Linked DNA regions of Styela clava. The protein of the gene in region 3 purifies or fractionates together with the protein of the main gene of each other region. This does not show direct contact. Links are inferred from orthologs where the notes say so. Each region holds a gene or a part of one and is shown on either strand. Other genes may lie near its edges. The genes, in order: structural maintenance of chromosomes protein 2-like, cytoplasmic 60S subunit biogenesis factor ZNF622-like, E3 ubiquitin-protein ligase HECTD1-like and structural maintenance of chromosomes protein 4-like.

Region 1 (7,756 bases), on a different chromosome or scaffold from region 3:
GATGTAAAGTAGGCGAACAGAATTAGTTACAGCCATATTGGTTCACACACTTCCGAAGCGTGCCCCTAGGAAGGCAAGTTTGAGAATACCTGACCAAGAAAAACAATGACCCACCTTGTCAATCTATCGGCTTCTCTTTGAACCTTTTGAAATTCTAAATAGGAAGTTCGATCGTCTCTTAATTTTTGCAAAGTCGGCATAATTTCTTCTTCCAAAACTTGATTGATTTGATTCTGCCAAGAAATAGGGGATGAATATTGAAAAAAAGTCACAAGCAAACAGGTCAAGTCAAATTTATTTTTTCCAACCAGTAAAAAAAAATATCACACGGGCACAAATTACGAGAAAACGATAATTTAAAATTTAACTGGGGAAGGGGAGTCGCGGAGAACCAAAGCTGGTTATAGAGCAGCGACACCCGAGGTTCTAATATCCAAATCAAAAAGTTGGAATTCTAGAGTTTTGAAACTACTGACATCAACAGTGAGTACCGTATGAATTATCTAACTAACACTGCTCACCAGAGATTGAAGAGCCATAAGACCAGCATACAAATGCAAACATGCAATATTCAAATCGACACCAGTCAACCAGCCAAAAAAATAGATAACGAATCAAATCTTTGTTTATATAACCGCCGATTGCTTGTACAGGACTTTGTTTAGAGTTAAGACGTGAACAATCCTTGCATAAAAAAAATAGGAATTGTCACATTTTCCTCACCAATTTACTTTCCTTCTTTTCAATCATTTTCTGAGCTGATTCTTTCTTTGCCTCGTACATACTCGTTCCGGTCGCTTCTTCAATCATAGAGAGAATTTCTGGAGGTTTCATGTTCATTACCTGGAATATTGAGATAAAATATTCAGTTTTAATAGAAAGGGGACAATGGTTACAAGACTGGATCCTGTATTTTCAAACTCCATGCAGTCAGAAATCGACAGAGATAGACAAACCGTGACTCGCCGAAGCATTTTTGGAGAAAAGTGTGAAAATTTTTTTCAACTACACACAAAATTAGGACATTTTATAACTTCATTTAAAATAACTAAATAAGCTACGAATTGTTAAAATAATGTTAATTTTTTTTTTTTTCGTCTTCGAGTCGATTATGTCAGCCACCATTCAATCAGAGCAAATGGAAATAGTGACATAACTGTGACATCACTGGTGACCCTACGCAAAAATGATTTTCTTAATGAGGCCCTCCTTGCATGAAAACTTTTCCCACCAATGTGGAATGAATGAAATCAGTTGATAAGTTTTACGATTGTGAAGTCTGGATTGTATGGCAGAACTGAGAACTTCCCAGAGAAATTACAAATTCTACAGACGTCTATTGGTGGCAAATGAACTAATGTAGGCTAAAGATTTATGGTATTGAAATTACAGAATTCTTAGCTGCAGCCTGATATTAATTTTTTTTCAATTTGGAGTTGAGTGTCGCAGACTAAACACAAATAGTTGTAATAGCAATTGTGATAACCCAAGAGAACACACAAATTCGTTAATTAACTAATAATTCAGAATCATTAAAGATTCGTTTGGAAAATGAGAAACAAAAAGAAACAACTAACCTTAGTCACTCTGCCTTGCATAATCAAGAAATGAGGATTATTGACGTTCAATCCAACTGAACGAAACAGATCAGAAACTCTCGAATTTTGAGCGTTTACTCCATTGATCAAATATTTATTTCGACCGCCGATAACAATTTGACGAGTAATAGTGATTTCGTTATGAGCTTCCATTCCAAGCGGGCTTTGCTCTTTAACAGAATTATCAAACGTGATTGATACTGTAGCTTTGTTGATTCCGGCTTGTCCATTTTTGTAAACAAGATCTTGAAGATTTGAGGCTCGAACCTGAAACAAAATATTTATAAATGTTTTAATGGCAGTGGTGTAAAAGTTTTCATAGGTGTTTTCAAATTTACCAGAAAACTACACAGAAAAAAAAATCACCATGCTTGGCTCAATAATAATCTAAATTAATCACGGCCATCACGTGACCAAAATTGCCGTTTTTTGCTAAAAACTCTCGAATGCCACGGTAAATTTTTTTTTTTTTTCAGTAAATAGTGAGGAATTCAATGATGACATTTTTAGATTGCGCTTCTATGTAGTTTTTTGTGCAACTTCATTTTACTGTATTTTTACCGATATTGAGGGACAATAATGTCCAGGCATCCTCCAGAGGAGGGGTGTTCGTTTATCTACAAAATGGGGTTCTCTGCAACGAGACAATGTCTCTCGATCTGTAAAGTGTGCCGTACCAAAATATAAAAAATGATAAAAAAAATGGAAAAATACACAGAAATCAGACATAACCTTTAGTCCATTAATCTGAATGCCTGAGCCCCACCCCCACACATACTGACATATACACTTTTTCCATTAACCACACAGAGTTAAAAAAGAAAACAGCAAAATCAAATTGCGAATGTTTTGTGATAAAAAACTAATCCAACCAAGATAAGATGAGTTTATTTCGACTCCCTGACTCCATAATCAGCATAAAGTCCATTCTGCCATTGGGCGTTTGAATTTGTTACACTCAAAATATATTGATTTGACAGTAAGTACTGGAGTAAACAGTCTTGTCAGGTCAGTTAAATAAATGCAATCTGACAATCCTGCAATTAGCCTAGTCGGAATGTCTGTAATTGGAAATTATCATGCCCCTACAAATTGAATCTAATTATACCAACAATTCCCTTTAAATATAAACAAAACAGCAATAAAGCATAACATACCTGAGATAAATTTGATATTCCCAGAAGAAAACAAATCGCATCCAAAATATTAGACTTTCCACTGCCGTTCAGTCCAGTAATCGCGTTGAACAAATAGTCAAATCCACTAATTTCTGTTCTTTGGGCGTAGGATTTAAATCCGTCTATGGTTACAGACTTTATGTACATTTTGTACTGAAAATACGGCTCCGAATACAGCCTAATTCTGTGATAATCAGCCACCAAAAAAGCAAAACCCAGGTCCCAGGATTCCGAAAATTGTAATAAACTCGGCGACTTTTTGCCGCCTTTTATCGTATGCGTTCAATTTACACCGCGAAATTTTGATTTTTTAAATGATATTTTTTTTGTATTGACGCATCCGTAGTAGGCTAGTATATATTTACGACGCAGGATAGGATAGGATTTACATATTTATCCCGGGGGAGAAGAAAGCCGATAAGACGGCTTATCCATATGGCGAACCACGGCCTCTCGTCCGGTTACCATTCCAAGTCTGGTATGGGATTAGATATATTGTTTGTTTTCGGAAGCATGGACTTGGTGGGGGAGGAAGCCGTAACCAACCAGCGGTTACGTGAACCACCCAACGGCGGCGAGGACAGCAATCCAGCAATCCTCTCGCACATAACCATCCCTGCATGGGATTCGAACCTGCGAACCCACGCAGAGTGATTAAGGTGCGGTGGCGAGCGTATTCCTAACGCTTAGCCCGTTGAGCCACACCGCCGTGCGAACAACCTGAGTGAGATATTAATGCAGTAATGTTTGTGAACCACAGACCTGAGCCACATATAGTTTTTATAGATGATGGCAATGCGATACACTCAATAAATACCGGTATAGATTAAATCTTTGGGCCACATTCAGACATACCGGTATTGATGATAATCAGGTACCGTACTGTACACTCAACAAATTCGTTACTAACTTACTAACGCAGTCAAATTTTTTTAAACGTTTTCAATCAGAATTTTTATTGGTATTTATGATAAAATAAGAAGCTAGTTTGTGTTTCTTGCATAGTATTACGTCATGACGTCATTGCTGGACTATTTTCAATTTTATTCAAAATTTCTAACAAATATGAATCAAAACTTTTACAATTTTAGAAAAACAACATTCAGTGATATTGATTTTAGGGAATAAATTTGTTACAGTACATCAGTGGGATATAAATCCAAAAGTATATTAGGATCTGAATCAGCACAGGAATGCGTTTGAATGTGAAACTACAAGAATTATAAGTATATTTTAAATCCATAATCAGCATAAAAGACAATAAAATAATTGATAAAAACAAAATAGGTAAATAAAACTGATTATAGAATCGGGAAAGCGAACAAAATCCAAAGTAAAGTGCAACAAATATATTGCAACGCGATCATCGTGTTGTAGCCTACTTCACAAAATGCCAAGGACCTGGAGGACGGGCATAACTTAATAAAAAAGTTAAAAACGTACATGTACGTGCCCGTCCACCAAAAGAACACAATAAAATAAAGGCACGATGTAAAATCGGACAATACCTTTTATATCAATTTTAAAGTGTAAGACACTGGCTAAAAGAAGATCATGGCAATACTTACTACAAACTAGAATTCAAAAAAGAACAAAAAAAAAATTGTGGTTGCGATTCTTATGTGGTGATTACAGAAAAAATTGATTGTTACTTCATGTTAGTCGTTGTTCATACCTGAACGTAGCTTTGGAGTGATTTTGGGTTCATTTGTTTTGGAGAAAAATACGTCGTTTTCAATTTGTTTTCCAATATTGACTTGGCAACCTGTTGATTAGCTTGTAAGACCAGGAACCACCACTTATTAAACTTATATAATATCACATATTACTGATATTTAGTTTTGATACAAATGCCCTGTAATGAGCGTGGAAAAGTTCTAAACTAGTTTTCCATGTGACGTTTTCTTTATATCTCAGCGTCCAACTCTCTGTTTTCGATAGCATTGCTTGCCAATCTAGAGCCGGTAGGAAGGTTTTTAACTTTCAGAGCAAACGGCATTATGGAACTTTTGGACCTCCCGAATTCTCAAATAAATTCCATAAGTCTGCACAACTCCTACTTGAACAAATCTTTATTGGAACATTGATAAGTTGCAGTAAAAGTACGGATTATTAAATAGAAAGATCATGATGTATACACCACCCCACACAGGGTGTTCTAGATAGGATATAAATATTAATCCAGTATAGAAAAGCTGCTATGATGACTTCCATATCGTCCGGTTAGCTTTCAGGTATGGAATTATTTGTTCAACTTCACTTAAGAAAATCATGTCACACATCAGTTAGAATCATTCGTTCCTTTTTTTTTAAATCTGCTTTTGGCCTATTTTGGAACTTTTTATTTATCCTTCCCTATGCATAAAACTATATTATCTGTCCAACCTTCAGTAGTTTATGATAAGTATTGTATTTGCAGTAATAATACGAAAACTAAAGAACAACAGTAATACCACAGCGACTACAAAATTGAGAAACACGGTGTAATATTTCTTAACAATATTCCCAATATACAGGGTGTCCTACATTTGATACATCTGTGAGGGCCAAAACAATATAGTGCATTGATAAATTTCCTTTGCAATTAAAAAAAATTAAGACCTCATGGACACCCTATAATTCCAAAATAAACAGTTCTGATTCTGAAAGATTATGTCATGAAGCATCACAAAAGTCCATTTTTTCATGATTCTGATAGGAAATTGACAGCAATGTACCCATCTCTTAACCAGAAAAGCCATTCAGGACAGGCTTGGTAGGATTCGGCCTTCGGCAAAACAATTCAAATACAGGCATCATAATGGGTTAGTCTTCAGTTTAGAAAACGGGAAAGTTCTTCTGGCTTTTAATTTTCTGATTGCTTCACGAATATGTTTTGGTTTCACTGGAGGCGTTTCCCCTTGTTGCTCCATAACATCAAGTGCTATCTCCATGATTTCACCGACATAAACCTGATAAAATATAGGAAACAACAAAATCAGAAAAATTGTATCAGATTCTAGTGAATGGAAAACTGACTTGACAGTTGGCCAATTATTTCCAGTAATGAGAGCAAGAGAAATATTGGACTTCAAAGTAATTTTCTCAAATAATTTGTTAAGAAATTCGAATCCATGAGATTTTTTGTGAAAGATTTAATCCTAAACTTGGGTTTCTTGAACTGTTGGTGTTATGGAGCCTGTCAAGGGCCTGAATATTTATTTACAGTGCCCCACCATGAATTTTTTAGAAACTATTATCTATTCTATTGGAACTTATAGATAATGTCATATTTAAATTACCACCTTATTTCCACATTTCAACGCTACTGTTGTCAAATTTTATTAATGCCGTTATTCTTTGGACAGTTACAAAATTAGCCAAGTCAGTATTTTAATAAGTAAATGAATGGCTTGCGGAGCACCAAGGTTTTTCCGCACTTTGAGAATCTATGCCCTGAACTATTCCAATACAAAGATAAAGACGAGCTTACTTTGGACACTCCAGCAACTCCTATCACCACATTTTGTGATACTGTGCATCCAGCGATGGATTGCATTAATCGTTTTATTGAAGCTTTTGGAAACGATGAACGTCTGTACATTTCATATCTGTTTAATTGGTCTTCAGAGAAAGCTGTCACAAGTCGCCTAAAAATAAACAAATTTAAAGAAAAGATTTGAGCATGTTGGGAAGTCTGATGAGCAGATTCTTTACAGATCACCAACTTGAGTGTCATCTATTATCTATATAAATTCACTGTTTGTGAACGCATAACACATTTAACCTAATGTAAATACAACTGTTACAAAAGACCATCTTAATGCAACCAAATAATCCAATCAGTTCGTTAAAATATAATACAAAGCATATACAGGAGAAATGGCATGATCGTAGTTTGGCATGTTTCCATGGAGTTGGTTCAAAATTCAAAACATTATAAAATTCATAAAGAATTCATGAAGAACATTACAAAACAAAATTCATGAGAACATCAGAGCTGCTGTAAAATATAACTAAATTTAAATTTCCAACTTACTGCATTTTCATTCTTTCAACTCTTCCTGATTTTTCTTTTTTTCGTTTCGCTGATAATATTTCATCAGCAGTTGCCTGTTGTGCTGACGTAGGATCTTTTCTGAAAATAAATAAAAAATTTGAAAGTAAAATATGATATAACTGATATTGGATTAATAACATGAGATTTTTCTGCCCAGTCACGCTCCAATTGGAAATTGGAGAAGTGGAATAGAGCAGCACCGGCATTAGCCCAATTAGATGAAATTATTCCGCTCATTCACGCTTCAATGATAAAAACTCGGGTTTAGTCCAGATATCTAGCCTGAGAAATTAGAAAATAAAATATGGCAGCACCGGCACTAGCTTAATTAGATGAGAATATTCCACACATTCACGCTTCAATGGGAAATTTCAGATAAAGTCTAGATATCTAACCCGGGAAATTAGAAAGTGAAATATGGCAGCAGCGGTATTAGATTAAATAGATGGGATTATTCTGCTCAGTCACTTTTCAGTGGAAAAAAATCAGGTCTAGTCTAGACATCTAACCTGAGAAATTACAAAGTGGCATGCGGCAGCACCGGCATTGGATTAATTCAGATGAGATTATTCCGCTCAGCCACACTTAGAGGGGAAAAAATTCACATCTAGATGTTTTACTGGGAAATTGAAAAATTTTGATAGTAAATTTCTTTTAACTAGCTTCTTTAGACATACTTTGGTGATTCTTTCGATGAAATTGATGTATTTTTGTCTCCTTTGCTTGGGCTTTCTTGAGGTCCTGATGGCGAACCAAACTTTCTTTTTAATTTTGAAGAACCTGAAAATAAAGATACCTCCTAAAGCAGCGGCTCCCAACCGGGGGCCTGGGGCCTATGCAAGGGGCCACAGAGGAGTTGAAGGGGACTACAATGTTAGAAGCAAAACCGCTTCTAGCATTCCTTTACTAAAAAAAGTCCCTGTTCATCACTTGTGATAAAT
Region 2 (6,006 bases), on a different chromosome or scaffold from region 3:
CTTGCGAAATTCCATTTCAAACCAGTCCAGATTTTACTCAACTGAATGGGAGTAAGAATTAGCTACAACTGATCAAAAAACATTCAGCAGAGGACGCAATGATATGGCAGACCACATCAGGTGTCAGTAGTTTTTAATACGTCCCGGTGTCCCGCGCCATACATTCAAATGTTTTGGTATGGCAGTCATAAATATTTTTCATTTAATATTGACGCAATTTGTTCAATTTATTTTTAACAGAGACATTTATCATTTACTTGCTCACTTCAATAGATTCTAATATGGCGAACAAAAGTGCAAGTTTTCCCAATAAGTTGAATATTACTAAGGCTCGATTTGAATCAAGGTTTGCACGGTTATTTGCTCCATATTTATGGGGACCCTATGCATCAAACTGCCATATTATTTGCATCACCATAATGGATGATTGTTGGAGGAAGCATAACTGCCAACGTGGTACGGTACCTGGAACACCCTGTGATAGTAAACAAGTGCAATTGGCAGTCAATTCGCTGAGGAGTGTATTGTCTTAAAGTGTTCATACTTTTATTAGAATGGTCCTGATTTAAAAGTTAGTTTGACTAAATTGAATATTCATCGCCAAACAAAGGTTAACTACAGGATGACAATAAATTCATTGATTGGAATTGCAAATTATAGCCCCTGATTTTGCACAATTTGGCAAATTGTACAGATTTAAAGTTGAATTCTGAAATGTTTCATTTGGGTTTTGTTGTTTTTCATTGATAATTTCAATCTGAACTTGGATTTCATTGTCCTGAGGTAGGCCATGTCCTTTTGAGCTCGAGAAATATCAGATGCAGAAGAACTGTGCCACCCGATTGCTTTGTACTGCGCAATAAGCCTAGCTAATCGCTTTTGCTTTTTAGATGTATGCCTTTCAACAGGTGGAAAGTTCTGTTTGTAGTATCTCATTAAACTTCTATGACCAATAGATGACCCAGATGGTAGAACCAGTTCTAAATCCTGTATATCTATATCTGCAGATACATTATCATCATCTTCCTCGCCTTCAGAATCCATTTCTACGTCATTCTCTTCCTCATCATCACCAAATTCATAGAAATCTGCATATTCCAATGCAGCATCCCCTGTAACAAGCATATTGCAATGTCCCTTATCTTTCATGTGTTTCAATACAGAAGATATGGAATAAAATGCTTTTCCCTTCTCATTACACCACAAACATATGTTACCCATTCCAACCTTTTCACCAAGATAGTTCAATAATCCCTCCAAGTCGGTTAAAAATGTAATATCTGGAATAAAAAATCCATGCTGCTTTGACATGTGAAGAACATTACACTCAATGTCTTTTGATGATTTAAGACAAAATAAACATTCCTGAGAAGAAATCTGTCTCTGTTTCAAACCAGTGAGTATGTCAGAAGACAGTGATTCTATATCTGCATCTTCATCTTTCATGATAATTTCCTCTTCATCAGCTTCTTCGTCATTCATCTCTTCATCAGAATCTACATCTTCCCATTCATCCTCATGTTCTGCTTCTTTTAGGGCTTTTGCTTGTTTTTTGAACCATCTCATACGAGGATTGTCACCAGATTTAAATTCTTTTGTGGTCTTTACTTTCTCATCTGCCCGTAATATTTTAGGTTTATCTAAATCTGCTTTCGCATCAGCAACAGCTTTTTTCATAGATTGACTTTCGTTTAGACCAGATTCATCTTTTTCATTTTTCAAGTCTTCCTTGGATAAATTTTGTTTTACTTGCTGCAAGTGAGCATTTTCATATTCTCTGTGTTTTTTTGATTGCTTATGATTTTCAAATGAATTATGTGAATTGAAACGTTTTTGACATAGTTTGCACCAAAAGCCAGATATGCCTTCAGTGTCCTTGTCCGCAGTGACAACCTGGCGCTCCCTCACTTTTTCCTGGAAGGTTGATGCAGAAACTGGTGGCATTCCAACAACCTTTCGCTTCAAATTATAGCGATGCCAATCAGTTTTATAATGACCTCTTTGTTGATCAGGGTCAGAAAATGCCACATGACAACTTATGCATGTATAAGCAGACATATTATATGTTTTCAATATTTATTTACTATAAATCTGCCTGTAAATAATGGAGTATGAATTACACAAGATAAATGATTAGGAATTGATAATAATGGGAAAACTAATGTTGTCTTAGCTTAGCATGTGACTATTCACAGCCAGCATCATATTTCAAAAATTAGTGGTTGCAATGAAAAGTTCATTCAAGAAAAAACTGACAGAATAATTGAAAATTCCATAAACCAGAAAAATATTTTGGTCCTTTTTTTGGACAATAAATGTTGCAACTTCAAAGAGAAATTCAGATGACAAGGAGGAATACTGACCAAGATCAAATAAAAGCTGAATACAGGAATGAGAGGGCTTAATCACAGGGCGAACAACAGCGTCTCGTCCAGTTACCAGTCCATGTCAGGTATGGGAATAGTTAGGCAGTTATTTGTTTCAGATGCATGAACTTGATGGTGGACAAAGCCGTATTTGATACCAGTACAGCAGCAACCGACCAGTGCGTACCACCCTATGGAGGTGAGGCTTATATAGTACAATTTTGATCACAATAACATAATTTACTGTGAGCTGAAATTCAGAAATTGATTGATACAATGAAACATTGCTTCAATCCTCTATGCCAGCGGTTCCCAAACTGTGTTCCGCGAGCGTTATTTTTGTTAACCGTCTGCCTAGCTTTTTGACTTTCAAGTTCATTACCATTATCCCAAGTTTAGAGCAATCCTTTTGGTTTTGCTATCAGAAAACAAGTAGGTATAAAGAATAAAGGCAAAGGTCAACTCTTCTTCCTCCATCTCTGCCTGGTTTTACTTTGAAATGCTGAAAAAATTACTCAAGTTCGCTAAATACGATTCAGCAGATAAACTGTAGGTCTGCAGTTCGCGAAATTGCATCAAGTGCTTCTATCTTCATTGGACGTAACATTAGAGGCAAACACTACGTAATGAAAAGTAAACGACATAGAAAGGTGAAATGAATTTGTTGATTCATATACACAGCATTTAAATTAGGGAATAATAAAACATTTATAATAAATACAATATGTAAAATATTCAATATACTCTATTTTCAGTATGTTTAACACAATTCTGTTAGTTTTTGCGGCGCATTTGGCAACTCGTTACGGCGAATCCATTGGGAACCGCTACATTACACCACACAGAGTAATCAGAGACGCGATGGCAAGCGTATTCCTAACGCTTAGCATGATGAGCCACATCCCCGGGCTTTGGTACTCTACAGACTAGGGGCCAGCATTATCCGAATTCCAAGAATTTCCCTCCATTTAGCTCAATAAAACAAACACTCTATGTGTCTCACAAACGAGGGGCTTCTGGAATCACATCAGATGCTTCATATCGTGCCATGCTTGTCTCAATAACAATCTAAAATAATCGCGGCCGTCACATGACTAAAATTGCGGTTTTTTGCCAAAAACTCCTGAATGCTACGGTAAAAATTTTTTTCCTTCAGTAAATCGGATTTTTTTTCCCAAGGAATTCGATGATGACGTTATTAGATTGCGCTTTTTGTAGTATTTTGCGTAACTTCATTATACTGTATTATAACCAATATATAGGGACAACAATGCTCATACGTCTCCCAAAGGAGGGGTGTCTGATTATCTGTAAAATGTGTTTCTCTGAAACGGGACAATGTCACTCGATTTGTATAGTGTGCTGTACGATAGCATTAGTTGTGCTTGATTGTTTACTGAACTCTATTTGATATGCTATTTCTGTATTTAAACAATCAACTATCGTTACCATACCGGTATCTGTTTTCGTAATCGACCTGGCTCTCAAACTCACTCCAGAACGGACAACACTAAGGGTGGAGATCAAAAACCTCACTTAACTTAAACCTGGATTAAGACTAATCTCGGATTAGTTAAACTCGGTTTAACTTCGAAAGTTAAACGGAGATCAAAAACCCAGTTTAGCGGTTACTTAACTAATCCTGGTTTAAGTCCGACGCCACGAGGCATTTCATCAAAACGTCGTGGCATGTTGCTCTTTGACCTCGTATTCCCATGGCGATGACAACGCGAACCCGATTTTGTTGTAATTTGCTGTCTTTGCAAAGTCGGTTTTTGATGTATTTCGTTGATTTTGCCAAAGCAAAACAAGCTGGGCGGCAGACCTACGAAGAGCTGACGCGCATTACCCGAAATGTCAAAATAATAACAATTTATCATAAATCCAACCTTTTTGGTCGAAGGGACACGTGATTCAAAAATAATTGCGCGGGCCACTTGACATGGTAGTTATGATCTAGTTTTGCTACACTACTACAGGTTAAAAATAAAAAAAATACCCTCACATCAAACTTTCCCAATTATTAGAACAATAAAACTTGTTTTCCAACCATTGACGGGCGCCATCAGTGGTTATTCCCAAAAGTTTAGCCAAAGACAAGATGCTTGATCATTTTTATCACAGCTCTAGTCGTACCCCTAACAGGGGCAATGGCTGCAGTCTCCACGGTGATTTTATACCATCATTAACTACCCGCAAGAAGATAGCAAGTCACTAACTGAGCAGTAAACTTAATGTCAGCGCATCGTCAAGCGCCAAGGAATACGATAAAAACATTTTCCGCTTCTGCATTTAAAATTCCCGCATTAGAATTCCCAAGCTCTTCAACACGATGAGTTATGGTCTGTCTTGACAGGCTATTTTTGCAAACACCTAGAAATGCTTCTACATATTGCTCGCGGGCCACGAGTTGGACGACCCTGGTCTACAACACCAACTGAATCTAATATTTTACTCCTAAAACCTCAGCGTAACAACAAACAGACTTAAATTACAGAACCCACATCCTACTTAGAGTGAAAACAGACGAAATGAACACACTTCAGCTGATAACCTATCCCTGGCAAGTTCTGGGCCACAGGCTTCTACATATTTAACATTTTATTATTTTGAAAATTTGTATTGCAAAAATAACTAATATTCATTTGTTCAAATGACTGCTAAAATGTACTGACATTCAAGAAATGGAAAAGCATAGAATCAATTCGGAAGAGGTGCTAAATTTTATCCTGGATCTACAGCTTTGAGACAGGAATGTGTCAACGTAATGCACACAGACACAGGTGCAATCATAGTTGTTGCTTTCGTTGCTATTTGAAGGTTTTATTTATTTCTTCTGCGGAAGACTCGCCAAGTGACGAAAAATTGACATAACTATGTTTCCTCTAAATGTTTTAGAATTATTGCAAGAATTATTTGTTTGTTAAGCTTAAGTTAACCGGGTTCCACATATTTGCTGGACACAGAGGCGTAGAATAAAGCACTGCTGCAACCTTGACTTTTACTATAATTCTATCCATAACAGTTGTTTGTCTTCATGACCTGAACAATAAAAATAAAAATACAGGGTTAAAGATAGTATATTGATGAAGTGCGCTAGATATTAAAGAAGCAAATTTGACCTAGGCAATGACTAAAACCGAATGATTTGTATTCGAATTTGTACAGATTTTTTGTATTCTGAAATGATAGTTTTGAATTACGTAAAATCCAATGTATATTTAATTATATGAATTTGGAAAAGTAAAACAGTAGAGTATTCTTAGTTTTCAGATATTAACTCTTTTGTCTTCGATTGTGATTGCATGTCGAACAACTTTGCTCTACTCTAAAATCATGTGATACTAGTTTTGCCTGCATGTAAAAAGAAATGACTAGAATAAAAGTATCCTCACACTATACGAATAATACAGAATATACACACAAATTAAAAATAATTTTCATTTAACAGCTGATACTACATAAATTTAGGACAGTTCACATACAAATAATATGGCATTTAAATAGTGACAAACTCACAAATTTGCTCTTCCAATAGAGCTGATGAAATTGATCATCATCATGGCACTCAGACAGTTTACTTGACTTGAAACAGCTGTAGAAATAAATGAAAAATCAGAAAACAATGTTACATTAAAGA
Region 3 (7,835 bases):
CAATAGATAACAAAAATGTTTAACCTGAGTGATTCAGGAGTCTTGCTGCACACTAACACAAATATATTTCTGTAACGTTTCGTCTGACCAAGGTCAGACTTCTCCAGACATACATAGTTCAACTATAACAAGAAAAGCATATGAATCCGGCGGCGCAAGAGCATAGAAGCAGGATAAGTAGTTAGTCTCGCAGAAACCAATTAAGTGTTTTCATGCCTCTAGACAAGGCAGCATATATACATAAAAGCTACCTTCTATTCAGCATACCATAATACATGCTTTGGTTATAAATTTTTAATTTTCAACCGGCAATGTCTATCCAAATTCATTGATCGATTTGTATGTGTATATCAAATATATTGTTATGTAGGCATTATTGGAAGATTTCTTTTAGATAAATACAACCAAAGCCTATACATACCAAAGTACATACCAAACATATATTGATATCAATTTACAATCAATACAATAGCTTCAACCGAAGACAACTATTGTTTTAAGGATGATAAAACTTGATATCGTTAATTAAACTGTAGGAAAGCCAGTCAGACACAAGGAACACCTGTACTTATATTGGTCAACTTAAAACGAAGCATATTTGGGTTATTATGAACCGCAACATTAAAATGATCATCATTAGAAAACCAGTAAGCTGTGACTACTCCTCTGGGAAGCGCAAAAGGTTTAATTGGTTTAAAATAAACCTATAAATCATCCTAAGTAACGATTTTTATTAATCCCCAAATAAAACTTACAAAATTTATGATTATTTTAAATTTATTTTTGATCTTTAATTGATATATCCTAATTTAGTGACAAATACAAATATTGACCCACAATTTCTAAATTTCAACACTTATATAAGATTAAGCATCAATAGAAAAAACGAGAATATCGGTCGGAGACCGAAGACTTATCGATAAAAGTTGGGGATCCCCCATTCATTCACTCAGACTCTATAGTACTCACCAATTAATTAATAACTCGCAAGTTATATGACATAATTCATCCAAAATCAATAGGCTTTTGGTACGAGCTATGGTGAATGCACATGCAAAATTTGGGGCAGATTAAACCTCGCTTTCGTGAGATATCGCATGCATCTAACAGACAGACAGACAAACAGACAAATACCCATCAACATACGTACCAATCTTATTAAGATCGATAAGTAATGACATTAAATAATATTGATATTGTATAATATGTGCCATTTGTCCCACATCGATATTATTAAGTACAGAGTGACCCAAAAAAATTAAACCCCTACATTGTGGTTTGAATTAATGAGAAATTTCCAAGTGCAGTTTTAAGTATTCTGTGGCGTCTGAAGCTTCTTCAAAACCATGGCGGGATTTTCAAACCATGGCCATTATTTACCGATACTTACTTTTTAGCTGCCACAAACCAATGACGAGATGCCGTTACCATGGCAGCAAGTTGAGAACCAATGGCGGGTTAAATTTTGCTGCCATAAGCACGGCATGTCGACTATAATGGCAGGGCTTTCTTGACGATGACATAATTGGGTAAGTTAGAACATTTTTCTTATACAGTTTTGATGGATTTGGGGTTAGGTTTCAGGTTTAAGTAGATATAATTCCGCATGATAAACTAATATCTGGTACATGACTTTGTGAATAAACCGCCATATAGCAATAGCGCCATATCCCATGGCAAGGGCTGCCATCGGTTCGTTCGTGGCAGGATCTGCCATGAAGTGGTAAGAATTGCGACTCGGAATTTTATTTGGATTGAATTCTTCGGCCATCTCTATTTTTTTTAAATCAGCTGAAGGCGACAGAACTGAGAAATCATATCGCAGTGTGCAGCATGTCAATAAAAATTAGTAATGGATGAAACTAATGAACAAAAAACCCAATGCATAAACACATCACTTTTTAAATAAAAGAGCTATTTTTTTATTAGGAAATTCGGCATTAAAATCAAAAAATATTCATTCTAGTTCTCAGAATAGCCTAAGAATATATCTTTGACAACAAGGACAAGATTTTTTTTATGTCTATGTGTTTAGTGAATGACACACAGCAACTACAAAAATATTTGTCGTGCGCATCCATTATATACAGAATCAGAAATAGACTTATATGGCATCCTGTGACTCAACCGACGTAACATTAGTATGACATGCTGAGTTGGGTAATCACATTGGTGACGTTATTGCTATCTTGTGACATACAATATGACACCTTATGTTAAAACTTATGTACAATGCATGGGAAATTGAAAAAACTACCGGCATATAACGGGCTTCCAAGAAACAGAGAAAATAAGAAAATCATATATTTTTGATTTTCAAACTCCTGCATTTTTTTATTAAAATACTTTGGCAAATATCGTTTCAAACTATGATTAAAAACCGGCCCTAAGGGCAACTAAGATAAACCATAAACCACCAGCAGTTACGTGATACGAGCAATATGTTCAAATTTCACTCTGGACAACCATGTTTGAAAGTAAAAATAATCCAACTTACATTTCAAAGCATCTGTCCACATTATCAGACATAAGCAGAAGCATGCATAGTTGTTCTAATGCAATTAGTTGCATATCACGTTCCTCTCCTAATCCCATCTGAAGCCATTCCAGCAAAGTATCTGGATCAACATCTGCCATGGTCGAAGGGTTGACGATTTCAAATCAGAATTTATTTAAAAATTCTATCTATGTAATTCCCAATAACCAAGTTTACTTCTGCGTTTTTGATTGAGATAATCCAATAAATGCAAGAATCAATCCGATAGTTTACAATAACTTATTAGATAAGCCTATGACTTATATAGGCTTGTTACAGCACCAGTTTCCAATAATGTGATATCCTGCCTTGTATATGAAGTTTGATATGGTCCAATGTCCTTATGCACTGTGTGTGCACAATCTCTTGCGTCGAGTCACAAAGACATTTTCACTGATGGTAATGAGGACACTGAATGTGAACCTCGGTGTTGCTCTGTATTGATTTAACAGTTTGCAGACAATGATAGTAAAATAAACTGTGTATTAAAGTTGAAGAATAATAGTTATTACTGTTTGTATTGCAGTTTAAGTATTTGTAATAAGATCGAAATTAATGTTTTCTTGCTTCTAAGAAAAGACACTCAATAATCAAAAAAAATATCAATCCAATTCCAAACCACCCTACAGCAGCGAGGAGTCCAGCAATCTTCTCGCACATGATCATCTCCGAATGGGATTTGAACCTGCAAACCCATGAAGGGAAATCAGAGATGCAGTGGCGAGCGTATTCCTAACGCTTAGCACGATGCGCCACACTGGATAGGATTTACATATTTATCCCGGGGGAGAGGAAAGCCGATAAGACGGCTTATTCATATGGCGAACCACGGCCTCTCGTCCGGTTACCATTCCAAGTCGGGTATGGGATTAGTTTTACTGTATTATTTGTTTTCGGAAGCATGGACTTGGTGGTGGACCAGACTGGATTCCATGGCAGGTGCACGCCCGAGGGCGCTAGCGCTCCGCAAAAATGCACGCGAGCGAAATCAATTTTGCACGCCGAAAATTTGCAATTGCTCACCAATGTAAATCGGTTTAAATGGTTTTAAAATCAATAATCCAGTAATATAAAGATGCCAAAATATTATAACTCCACAATTGTCGACAAATACCAGCTTGCAAGATTTGGTCTGATCGAAATATTGCGAAGCAAAAAGACCATGGACCTTTCCCCAACCTTTGACCCGCGAAAAATTCCTCTCATTGTTACGTCCTTTTTTGCATCTTGCTGATTGGCCAATGTCACGAAGTAAACAAGGAAGTCGATGCTCGGGGAAAGGTCCATATCGTGTTGAATGATAGGAGATAGGAATCCCGTGAGAATAGTTATGGACGAAAAGATCGCCTCCGCACCAATGGCCAAGTACGGCTCTGATTCAGCGTATTTTTCATACAATAATTTTACACGAATGTACTGAACAGTACCGGTATCTAAAGTTGCTCAAACACTCCCAAAATTAGTGACAAAGTATGAAAATAATGTTTGGGGTCAAAGGTCAAACGTCCATTTTGCTCTAATTTGACGTATTTTTTATCCATTAATTCTACGTAAAAACACTACCAAAATTAATGACAAAGTATGTCCATTTTGCTCTGGTTCAACGTATTTTTTATCCAATAATTTTACGCGGATGTACTGAACAGTACCGGTATCCAAAGTCGCACAAACACTCTCAAAATTAGCGACAAACTGTAGAAATAATGTTTGGGGTCAAAGGTCAAACGTCCATTTTTTCTCTGTTTCAACGTATTTTTTATCCGATACCGGTAATTTTACGCGGATGTATTGAGAGGTATCTGATGTCAAAGTCAGTTGCACGCGAGTGCAGTTGTTTTGCACGTCGTGAGCTATAATTGCACGCCAGGAATTCTTATTTGCACGCGGGAATTTCTGATTGCACGCCCGATTTCTCGTTCAAAAAGGCCATGAAATCCAGACTGGGTGGTGGAGGAAGCCGTAACCGACCAGCGGTTACGTGAACCACCCAACGACGGCGAGGAGTCCAGCAATCCTCTCGCACATAACCATCCCTGCATGGGATTAGAACCTGCGAACCCACGCAGAGTAATTAGAGGTGCGGTGGCGAGCGTATTCCTAACGCTTAGCCCGTTGAGCCACACCGCCGCGCCACTGCCGAGCTCATACTTATACAGTTCTGCAGTTATACCACTGTCTCACTGATTTCATTATCAGTTTTATTAATTTGTTTTTATCATTCATTTTATTGCTTGTTATGATGATTATGAAGTCGAGATAAACTTATACCTGTATACAAGAATACGGTACCGTACCGTCATGACCGTACTGTCTGGCTGTAGGATACCGTACAGTCTGTGAGTCTGGCGATGTCAGGGTGTGGAGAGAAAACAAACATAATGTTCTCCTTTAACCAGATCCCGCCTTCAAAACAGTGATATTTTTCATAAATCTCAACTGAACCATACCCCCCTAAAGACTCAACTCCTTATAACCGCAACACAAACGCGTGGCACAGAGGAAAACAAAGACAAACAATGACAAAGAAGCGCAACGAGAAAACAACCGCGGTCGCCAGCTGACGCAGAATGGCGAAATAGAATACAAACAGCAACGTGACGAAAAAAGCTGTGACGTCATATTTGTGATAGCTAATCACGAAAAGATTTTGTGCATTAGCGGAGATTTGCGCTAATGATTTGCTTTCTGCGGGACTAACTACTTATCGCTTTTCAATGCTTTTGCGACGGTGGATCCGTATGCATAAAATGCAATGATGCTGTATCAAAAGTAAATATAACTATCCGAAGTGATCTTGCTGCACATAACACAAATATATTGCTGTAACGTTACAAAAACATACGGTATTCTTGTTAGTGTGCAGCAAGACTCTTGAATCATTTAGTGGAGATTAATATTGAATTACATACTTATATCGCGAAATAGGTGTTTGTTTTGTTATCATATAAACAACGAAAATGGATATTGAATCTGGACAAGATGGTAATTACTCATTGGGATAATCATTTCGGTTGGCATCGACATTCGTCTACACTTGAATAAACAGTTTTTGTGAAGACAAATGAATTCACAATTCAACTGATCGGCATAGTTACTTCTGTGATATTAATGTCACGATTTTGTTTGTCTATTTTATAAATATACATTCATCACGAACGAATTTTTGGGCAAATTATACAAAGACTTCGACAGACTATTAAAACTCTGAGCGTTGAGTAAAGGTTTCGCGATCGATCGATTAAATTAGTATCCCATTGTTTTGGGTACTGCATAAAATGCTAAAATATTTTTTAAACAGTTATCAAAGCAAACAGCTTATCTTGTTGTTGAATATTCATATATATTGAACTGCGGCAAAAAACTTAACATTTACAATTTTTCCGTACCGCGAGTGGGCAGCAAAAAAACGACATGAAATATAAATAGCGTTGCCAGATTTCTGGAAACAAATATGAGCAAATTACCATTTTTTTCGAATTCTGATATGAGAACATACCGAAAATAATATTTCTTTGCTATTAAAATAATTTACTAACTTGTTTATCTATCGAATCACATATATAGCCAAGCGTGGATCACGATGGCGACGAAATAAGAGCTGAAGAAGTAAGATATCGGAATTCAAAAACAGGTTCCCAAATGCGACCCGCGCGAAGTTGTACCGCTTATAATGCATGAAACAAAAATTTCTCGGTACTCCCAGAGTAAGAAAAATTGGTACACATACTTCGGGAGTACCAATTTCTCTGCGCAGGTATTTATGTCGTAACAACGGCTGTTATACTTATAAATTTATGTTACCCGTCTATTGCTTTACGTAAGAATAGAGGTAGACACTTCTCGCTACAATTTTGTAGGCTGCAGTTTAGGTATCTTCTGAACCGAGGTTGGCGAACATGAGTGATTGTTTTAGTATTTCAAAGGAAAATCGCGCTGTGATGATGAAGAAGAGTTGACAGATCTTTTGTACAAAGGCCCCGTCTCTAGTGCAAAAATGTGAGATTTGAGAATAACACCCCGCCACATTTTTAAACAAAAATTGGTAATTATCCAGTTAGCGTTAGTATTGTGTTAAAAATTTGAATTTCCGGCGCAATCTGCATTCCTGACCCTATCTGAATAATACCTAATTTTTTATTTTGAGCTTTTGCGGGGATTAGCTTTGTACGAAAGATCCGAGTTGATCCCGAGCGTTTATTACTTAGGCCTGTATATTTACAAACTTTAAAAAGCATAAAGTACACTTTAAGTCTTTAACGATTACAAAATTGAGTTTTTAAAAGTCAGCAATTTTTCATTTAAGTACGGCGTGGGTTTTTTCCCCTGATAATTCGGGGCCGAATGAGCAAAGATTTTGGGAATTGCTGCCATACCCGACATGAACTGGTAACCGGACTAAAGATCGTGGTTAGCCGTGTGATTAGGCTGTCTACTCGACCTCCCTTTTCCCAGAATAAATATGAAAATCTTATCCAAACATAAAATTCCGCGGGGTGAGTCTGCGTGTTCGTACAATTCTCCGTAGGAAATGCTGCGGCGGAAAATTTCGCCGCATGAGAAATCGCTGCAAGAGCATTTTGCTGTAAAGCAAGTATTTGTAATAATAAAAACCGTTGGGTTTATAGGTTTAGGGTATGCTCTTAAATAACTAATCTTTTTAAATGAAAAGGTCAAAAACATAACTGTTTTTATCACAAATACTTGTTTTACAGAAAAATGTATTTGCGACGATTTTGCATGCCGCGAATTTCCCCATGCGCCGAATTTTCTTGCGGCCAAATGTTCTGCGGCGAGATTTCCTACGACGAAATTTCTTGCTGCTAATTTTCCTAGAACCATAAGTCTGTAAACCCGCCAATATCCGACACAATCCACTAATTTACGTACTACATCGGTAGATACATCCGAGGTTTGTCCAACGACATTTTTGATGATTTTAGTTGCTGTGTGGAACGTTCTGTTAATCAGTAATTTATTTCTTCACCACGCTGAAAATACCAACTATACACTTGTGGCTATAAGTAAGTATATTTGGTAATGACTTGAATTAAAAAAAACGTTGAAAAGTTTGAGGTTGTAGTAAAACGTCATGGTACCAGAATCGTGACGTCATAGTACCCGTTTCAACTGGCGAGTAATCAGTCAGTAATTAGTAATTTATTTTTTCATCATGCTGAAAATACAAACTATACATGCTCAAATTAAAGAAAATATAATAAAAATCGCATAACAGGGTGAAAGGAGACGCCGAAAACCAAAACTAGTTATCGAGCGGCGGCGCCCTTGGGGAAAATCTTAC
Region 4 (7,657 bases), on a different chromosome or scaffold from region 3:
CTTCGTCTTGTTCTCACGTTCTTCAATTTCTTGAAGCGCCATTTGACATTCTTGTAATTGAACTCTCACTTCTTGTTTTTCTTTTTGAACTTCTTCGGTTTCTTTTAAAAGTTCTGAAGCTTCTTCTTCGAGTTGCGTCCATTGTTCTTCTAATTTTTTCAAATTTTCTTCATTTTCTGTGATCTCCAATTCTAGTGCTTCAATCGATTTTTCGCTTTTCTGAATGTTACGTTCAGCTGTATTAATACCAACTTTTAGTTTTGTGATTTTCTTTTTAGAAGCATTCATTTCACTGATGATTTTATCAAGAGCCTCTTGTGCTGGTTTCAGTTTCCTGCTGTTAATTTCATCAATTTGTTCATGGTAACTGTTTTTTTCTGCTTCAACTTTTTTAGATTTTGCTACAGCAGAATTGTATTCTTTCGTAACTTTATTCAACTTGTTTTTCATCTCTTCCTGTTTATTTGGATCGGGTTTCGTTTTCTTAACTTCTTTTTCACACGATGGTTTTTGTTGTTCCAACTGTTTAAGTTGAAGATTTAATCCAGAAGCCTCTTGTTCGAGCTCCTCCGTTCTACACTTTGAATTACGCAATTTTCTTTGGAGTTGTTCAACTGCTTCTTCAGCAAGTGCAATCTCACCCCTAAGAGAGCGTAATTTTGTCTCCATTGCTTCAGCTTCACTTTGCATTTTTCGCAGTTGCTCGAGTGGAACAGCTTCTTGTGCAACGCACTTTGATCCCATACGACCTTTCACTACTCTGTTACCGCCACCAGTCATAGTACCGGAAGTATCAATGATCTCTCCTTTTATAGTGACTACTCTCCATCTGCGATCTTTACCATAGGCTACCTTGGTGGCTTCAGAAAGATCGCTAGCAACTAAGGTATCACGTAAGGCGTGGTAAAATGCAACTTTAAACTTTTCGTCACTAACACGTATCAAATCGACCAAGCGAGGAAGTGCAGACCTTGGTTTGTTTTGAACTTGTGACCTATGGCGATCCATTTTATCCAATGCAATGAAGGTTGCTTGACCAACATTATTCACCTTGAGGGCTTGAACACATTTCTGTGCAGTCTCAATATTATCAACGAGAATATTTTCTAGTGCGGGACAACAAGATGATATTGCAACATCATATTTTTCATCAATAGCTCCCAAATTTCCAAGTCTTCCATATATCCCAGGCAATTTTCCCGAGGTTTTTAGCTGCATCAAAAAATCTGTTACTTTCCCTTGAGATTTGGCAGATTTTGAAGAATGCTCTGCATCTGCAAGATGTCCTCTGGCAGCTTGTAGTTTGGTTGACAAATCTTGTTCCTGGGTTTTAAGATTTTGTAAATGTTTTGTCTTCTCTTTTAATTTTGTGTCAAGCTCAGGTAGAGAATGATTGAGATTCTCTCTTTCTTCTCTGCTGCTTTCCAACATCCTAGTTACTTCCTGAATTCTTGAAGTGACCTTTTCAAGAGCAACTACGGCATTTTCATGGTTGCTTGTATAAATTTCAAGTTCTGCTGCCGCCATATCTTTTACCTGTTTTGTATCATTTACAACTTTCATCAATTCCATGAGGGGTTTCTCCTTTTCTTCAATCTTCATCTGAAGATCAGATGTTTCATCTTTCAAACTTCTCGTGACTTCAGTAAGATTTTCATCTGCTTCTTTTTTCCTTACTGCAAAACCCTCGAGTGCTTTTGTCAATGTTTCTAAATCCCGTTCATGAGCGCTTGGCACTTCTTGGAGTTCCTTGAATTTGCGTTTTTCTTTTTCAACTTTTTTGGCTAAATCTTTTGCCTTTGCTTTTGCGTGTTTGCGATCTTCAAAGACTTTGATGTTAGTCTGTTCTAATTCACCCATTTTATCTTTTTTTTGCTGACACAACGACTCTTGCTTTTCCAACATCTTTGAAATCTTTTTGACTGTTTTCACTTTCTCTCTTCTTTCCTCTGTAATCATCTTGAGCGCTTCTTCCATTCCAGTCATTTTTTCTTTCAGAGCATCTCGCTGTACAGCATATTCTTTCTCTTCTCTGCTAATATTACTAATATAATTTTGAACAAGTCTGTTCTGCAATTCAGCCATTCTATTCTGTGCTTTTAAGAAGTCAAGTGCTTCATCTCTCAAAGGTTCGAGCTCATCTTTCTCTTTTTCGACATGTTTGACTCTTGCGAGTCTTTCGCCGCGTTCTTCACTCAACTCTTCTACCAATTTTGCCAGTTTTTCAATTGCCTCCTTGAACCGAGAAGAACCAATGATATCTTCTAAAAATTCCAGCATTCCTTCATCATGTGCTGTTTGTGCTTTTGGTTTCATCATGGCAATTTGTTCAACTTCTCCTTGCAGAATTAAAAACCTATTGTGATCCAGATCAATTCCACTTGAACGAAGGAATTTGGCTACTTCCTTAAAATGAACTCTTTTTCCATCAATGCAATAGTAAGATGAATTATCCGAAGAAGCAGTACGAGAGACACAAAACTGACTGTTGGGCACAACTTCAAATTCATCTTCACTTGTATCAATAATTGATTGAAAATGAACTTCAACAGTACAACTTGTTGCATTTTTATGATTTTCACTGTTGTGGATCATCACTGATACTTTTTTTGACCTCAATTTGTTGGAACGATACCCAAAAACGAAAAGCATAGAATCAATAACATTGGACTTCCCACTTCCGTTTGGTCCAACAATTCCAGAAAAGCTTTTGTGAAATGGTCCAAGTACTTGAACTCCAGCATATGATTTAAAATTATGATTCACAATATGAGTTATCATAAGCCGTGGTTCGCCTGCAGCACCGACACCAACAGCCAATGGTTTAGGTGGGATTGTAATTCCCTCTGGAAGATCAAGTTCCGCTACTTCTTCACTTCTTTCATCATCTAACTCCATTGGTGGCTCTGTGTCAGGATCAGGAGTATCCATCTTATTATCTTCAGTATTTTCCGTGGCAGTTTTAGTCATTTTAATATACTTTATTTAAAAAGACCAGAAAATAATACCACAATATTAGTATCAAATATAAATACGAAGCAGTGCGATGGCCTAGCGATTGAGGCATCAACTTTAACTGTGTTGGTATTACAGATTAAACATATCAGGTCCTAATCCCATGTCACCCACCTCACCCAGTTCGGAATACATTCAGACATTGGGATAACAATGCCGAAGCAGAAAGATTCAGGTGCTTCCATACATGCAAAAATACGCACTCGTAGCAAGTTTGAGGACTTGGTTCAATAAAACAAACACCCTATTTGTCTCCAAAATGAGGAGTGTCTGCCATGACAACCCAGACTGTCTCGTAAAAAGGAGGTATAAATTGGCAAACTAGTACTGCGCAATAACCTAAAAAAGAAGTGCAATCTAAAAACATCACGATTGGATTTCTTGAAAAAAATCATCCGATTTATCAAATGAAAAGAAAATTTTACCATAGCATTCAGAGAGTTTTCAGATGAAAACGCCATGTTGGTCACATGACGGCCGTGATTAATTTACCATGGATTATAATCGAGACAAGCATGGAATGATCTGACGCATCTGCCTTCAGACACTCTCGTTTCAGAGACAAATAAGAATGTTTTTTCATTGAACCAAATGTCGGGACATCTTGAAATAAGAGAACTGTGTCCTACTGGATAAAGTACCCTTTGACAACAAATTCTCTGGGAGTGGCATAAATATAATTACCGATGGAGTTCATCATAGTTTGTGTTGGCGGATGCGTCAAATTTTTTGACCATATTGGCGCTATAGAGATTATAGGGGAAATCATGCAATTCTAATTGGGGATATCGACTAAAAATAAAGTGGAGGTATTAACGCTTACGCAGAATATTCTGGTTCGCTCAAAATTCGGAAATTCATATAAATTAACACTAAAAATATGATCATTCTGATGTCCAGCTACAATACAGTGAGGAATATTACTTCTTAATATATACTAAAATTTCCCACATGCTAGTCTACTGCAGTGAAACATTAATTAGTCTAGGCATCTGAGTTCAGGCTGTCGCAAGAGTTGGCCCGTTCTGCCGTTTGCAGGTTTGTTTATTATAAATATCAGTCCTGCAGTCTGTCAGTGACAAAACTTGTAAACTGTTAAGGTACGTAAAAATGAGCTTTGGTCAAGCATGCGCCCAGACATAGGCCTATCAGTCAACATGAGTGTCATTATTATTACATTTGGCCAACATTTTAAAAACTTACTGCATTCCCTTTCTACCAAATTTTATGTCTTGTCAACAGAAGCCAGAACAGCGAGACAGCAGAATGCTCAGATCTGCTGATACGGTAGTCTACGGCAGGGGTGTGCAAACTGCGGCCCGCGGGCCAAATGCGGCCCGCAAGAAGAAGTTGTGCGGCCCGCGGAGAAATAACGAATTCGAATGGTGTACCCGCAAAACGAGTATTTATTCTTTTTCGTCGCAAAGCCCATACCAGTCATATTAGCAAAACAAGCTAGCAAAATTCTGTTGCAAAATACACGATTTATATTACAAAAACGTGTTTCTCACTGCATTCGTTTGAAGTCGGTGTGACAAAAAATTTAAATATCAGTTTCTTCAGAAGTTTATGCGTTTTAAATCTACTATTTCTGCAAGAACCCTTAATAATGCCGTAAGATCAATAGCAAATATGCTATAGGCAATTTTTGTGCTTGAAACTACCAGAAAGCCTAAATTAAATAAAGGTGCGGCCCGCGGCTTCACCCAGTTACTTGTATTTGGCCCGCCAATAAAAAAGGTTGCACACCCCTGGTCTACGGTACCGTACCGGTACCGGTATCGGTACTGCAGTAATGCAAGTACCGGTACTGAAATGGCATTATGTCAAAACTGGACAAGTTATACGAAAACCGATAGTATGTAAGTTACCGTATATACCGTAATTACTTTTCGAAACGTTTTTGTTTTTAAGTACAATGAAAAATATCTATAAACTATTCGTATACCTGTCACTCATGGACTATATGAATATCAAAATAATACATCAAATATAATAGAAAGCGCGGGAATCGCGAGACCACGAGATGGCGTGACCCATAAAATTCGTCATGAATGGGCCATTTCACGGGTACAAAAATGCATGAATATAAACTTACCCGGATCAATCAAGGATAGGATAGGATTTACATATTTATCCCGAGGGAGGGGAAAGCCGATAAGACGGCTTAATCATATGGCGAACCACGGCCAGTTACCGTCCAGTTACCAGTCCAGGTCGGGTATGGGATTATTGGACACGTAGTGGACATAACGATCGTTTCAATATTATGTTGTTGTTGTTGTTCTTGTTCTTTGACACGTTTTTAAAAAGTCGCCTTTCTCTTCGAATACTGGACCAATTGCTTTGAAATTTTCAGTGGTTAAAGATTAATTTTTTCGCTAGAAGGCTATTGCTTTTATTTATTTCAAAATTTTGCGTGAATTCTATGAAATTTGATATTTCGTCTAATATTTTGCTGTATTATTTTTTATCCATGGGAACACGGATTTTAGTCAGTGTCATGACTGGCTGTACGTTTTGATTCTGCAAAATTCTTGCTACTGGAAATTAGGAACTTTTTTGAGGGTACCGGTAGCGTCAAAGGTACCGGTAAGGACTGATTCGCTCTGGTCTGACGTGTCCATATATTTGTGCGTAGCTCTCTTGTTAGTTATCCCGTAAATATGGTTAGCCAGTTATTTGTTTTCCGAAGCATGGACTTGATGGTTGAGGAAGCCGTAATAGAATGAGGCCATCGATGAAAAAAGGTAAGTAACATACAAATGGCAAATCGATAGTAATAACTCAGTAATAATCGATAGCAATGAGTCTACGAATCTTTCTATTTCATATACCCCAGAATATTTAAAATCCGTGATTATTATTTTTTTCGCTATTGTATGGGTAACCAATAACATTAACTATTAACATTAAAGTTTAATGTCATTGGAGTAACTTAAATGCTTTTGATGTAAACACCAGAAAGCGTGGATACCCGTGATCAGTGGCGCAGCCCATGGGGGGTTCAGTGATTTCCCTACACCCCCCCTATACCCCCCTAAAATTTCAAACACCCCCCCCCTAATTTTGAGGTGCGATTTCACACTGAGGGGTTCTAAACCGCAGTCTGCGGGCCAATTACAGCCCGCGCGACGATTTAAAATGGCCCGCCGAACTTGAGTGAAATAGTTTAACCCTTCATGTGGTACCTTTTGAGTTTTAGATACCGTCTATTGTTACATCATTATCACAGTTTAAGCACGTTTATTTCGTAACAATTGAATTATTCCGGTATCTTATGTATACGTATGGGTATTAGGATTACACACTGCAGTATTTTAGATATCAGCCGTATATTAAGAAAGCTTAAAGATGTCACAAAACGAAAACTAGGCAATGAAAATGACGTTTTTTAGATGAATGACAGCGTTTTTATTTCTTTATTGAAAAGAATCAAGCTTCAGCGATTTGTCTTCTTACCAACAAAATATTTCAGTTCTGAAGGAATACAACATTATGATCAGTTGACGAGCTTATTTCAAAATTTAATTCATACAAAAGTCAAACAAACATGTTCCAAAAAATTAGAAATGTGTAACAAAACGTAAGTAGCCATTCATACAATGCCAGATGAGCAAGTAACTTCCTTAGTCACTATCAGTTGCAAATTACTTGTTGAAACGTAGTAGTATATATTTACGGTTGAAAGCCGTGCTTGTTATCTATTCCCCGGGAATTCTATCAGCTAAATTTTCTAATTATTGATTTCATTACATAACAAACTGCGATGCTAGGTGTATCTAAAATCAAGCTTAGAGCCTATTTTGGTGCCTATTTCTCAAAATTTTCTCAGGCCGCTTGAGCGCGCCCTGAACCCCAGCCGTGTCGTCCCGCACTTTTCCTCGCTCCCCTTTTCTGGCCCTACATTTTTATTCTTCTGTGGATTTTGGCTCGCGTCAATCATCTTGGTCAATCAACAATGTACATCGTTTCTTAAATACATACCATTTTGTTAAGAATACAAATAGCCTAGTTTTATCTCTAATAGCAAATTATTTACCACCCTCTAAATTTTGAAACACCCCCCCAACTTTAACTTTTTATTCATTAATTGAAATTTTCGTCGAAAATTTTTGTGTTAACATTATACGAGGTTGGAAACGCTACTTTTCCCGAGTTGTGATGCTATATAAGATAATTGATCTAAACCTAAAGTATATTCAATCAATTTTTATTGTGCTGAAATAAATTTTACTCTGTTAGGTTTTACAGCAGATTTACAGATTTTTTGAACGGTTTTACCTTAAAAATAATCTGAGTGCTAGCATTGCGATTGAGCGGAGTCAGTGTTGCAAGTACGGCTCAGATTTGTCGAATTCGCAAAATGGCAAAAATACGGATCAAAACAAAATATAATCGGGCAGTTTATCACATATTTTTATGTCTGCGGATTGCCGTGGTATTTTAGAATTATGATGCTTTTATTTTGTCGACGCATCCGCAGGCTTATAATTGAAGACAAATATTTTTTTTTTCAATTTCCAAATTCGATCAAGATTATTAATCTTTTTTTTTAATTTTGAATATCATGGTTTTAATTACCATTTAAAAAAGTCATATTGCCTATACGAATTATAAAATCATACAATACCAAATTATC

What was found.
Region 1: the proteins of E3 ubiquitin-protein ligase HECTD1-like (region 3) and structural maintenance of chromosomes protein 2-like purify together in Homo sapiens (affinity purification with mass spectrometry; 3 studies listed by BioGRID, with this or other methods). This does not show direct contact. The link is inferred for Styela clava from reciprocal best matches to the Homo sapiens genes HECTD1 and SMC2.
Region 2: the proteins of E3 ubiquitin-protein ligase HECTD1-like (region 3) and cytoplasmic 60S subunit biogenesis factor ZNF622-like purify together in Homo sapiens (affinity purification with mass spectrometry; 4 studies listed by BioGRID, with this or other methods). This does not show direct contact. The link is inferred for Styela clava from reciprocal best matches to the Homo sapiens genes HECTD1 and ZNF622.
Region 4: the proteins of E3 ubiquitin-protein ligase HECTD1-like (region 3) and structural maintenance of chromosomes protein 4-like purify together in Homo sapiens (affinity purification with western blotting; 3 studies listed by BioGRID, with this or other methods). This does not show direct contact. The link is inferred for Styela clava from reciprocal best matches to the Homo sapiens genes HECTD1 and SMC4.

Annotation. Positions count from the first base shown.
Region 1 is NC_135264.1:15,679,532-15,687,287, forward strand, and holds the start of structural maintenance of chromosomes protein 2-like, read right to left. Parts: upstream 3,022-7,756; 5' UTR 2,924-3,021; coding exon 2,756-2,923; intron 1,866-2,755; coding exon 1,578-1,865; intron 844-1,577; coding exon 724-843; intron 234-723; coding exon 115-233; intron 1-114. Other genes in the region: transcription initiation factor TFIID subunit 11-like, read right to left, coding at 5,572-5,727, 6,249-6,405, 6,795-6,893, 7,493-7,595. UniProt on the Homo sapiens protein: Central component of the condensin complex, a complex required for conversion of interphase chromatin into mitotic-like condense chromosomes.
Region 2 is NC_135263.1:18,717,909-18,723,914, forward strand, and holds cytoplasmic 60S subunit biogenesis factor ZNF622-like, read right to left. Parts: upstream 2,116-6,006; 5' UTR 2,059-2,115; coding exon 697-2,058; 3' UTR 505-696; downstream 1-504. UniProt on the Homo sapiens protein: Pre-60S-associated cytoplasmic factor involved in the cytoplasmic maturation of the 60S subunit.
Region 3 is NC_135255.1:18,151,257-18,159,091, forward strand, and holds the start of E3 ubiquitin-protein ligase HECTD1-like, read right to left. Parts: upstream 3,011-7,835; 5' UTR 2,638-3,010; coding exon 2,498-2,637; intron 1-2,497. UniProt on the Homo sapiens protein: E3 ubiquitin-protein ligase which accepts ubiquitin from an E2 ubiquitin-conjugating enzyme in the form of a thioester and then directly transfers the ubiquitin to targeted substrates.
Region 4 is NC_135251.1:14,605,247-14,612,903, reverse strand, and holds the start of structural maintenance of chromosomes protein 4-like, read right to left. Parts: upstream 3,008-7,657; 5' UTR 2,971-3,007; coding exon 1-2,970. UniProt on the Homo sapiens protein: Central component of the condensin complex, a complex required for conversion of interphase chromatin into mitotic-like condense chromosomes.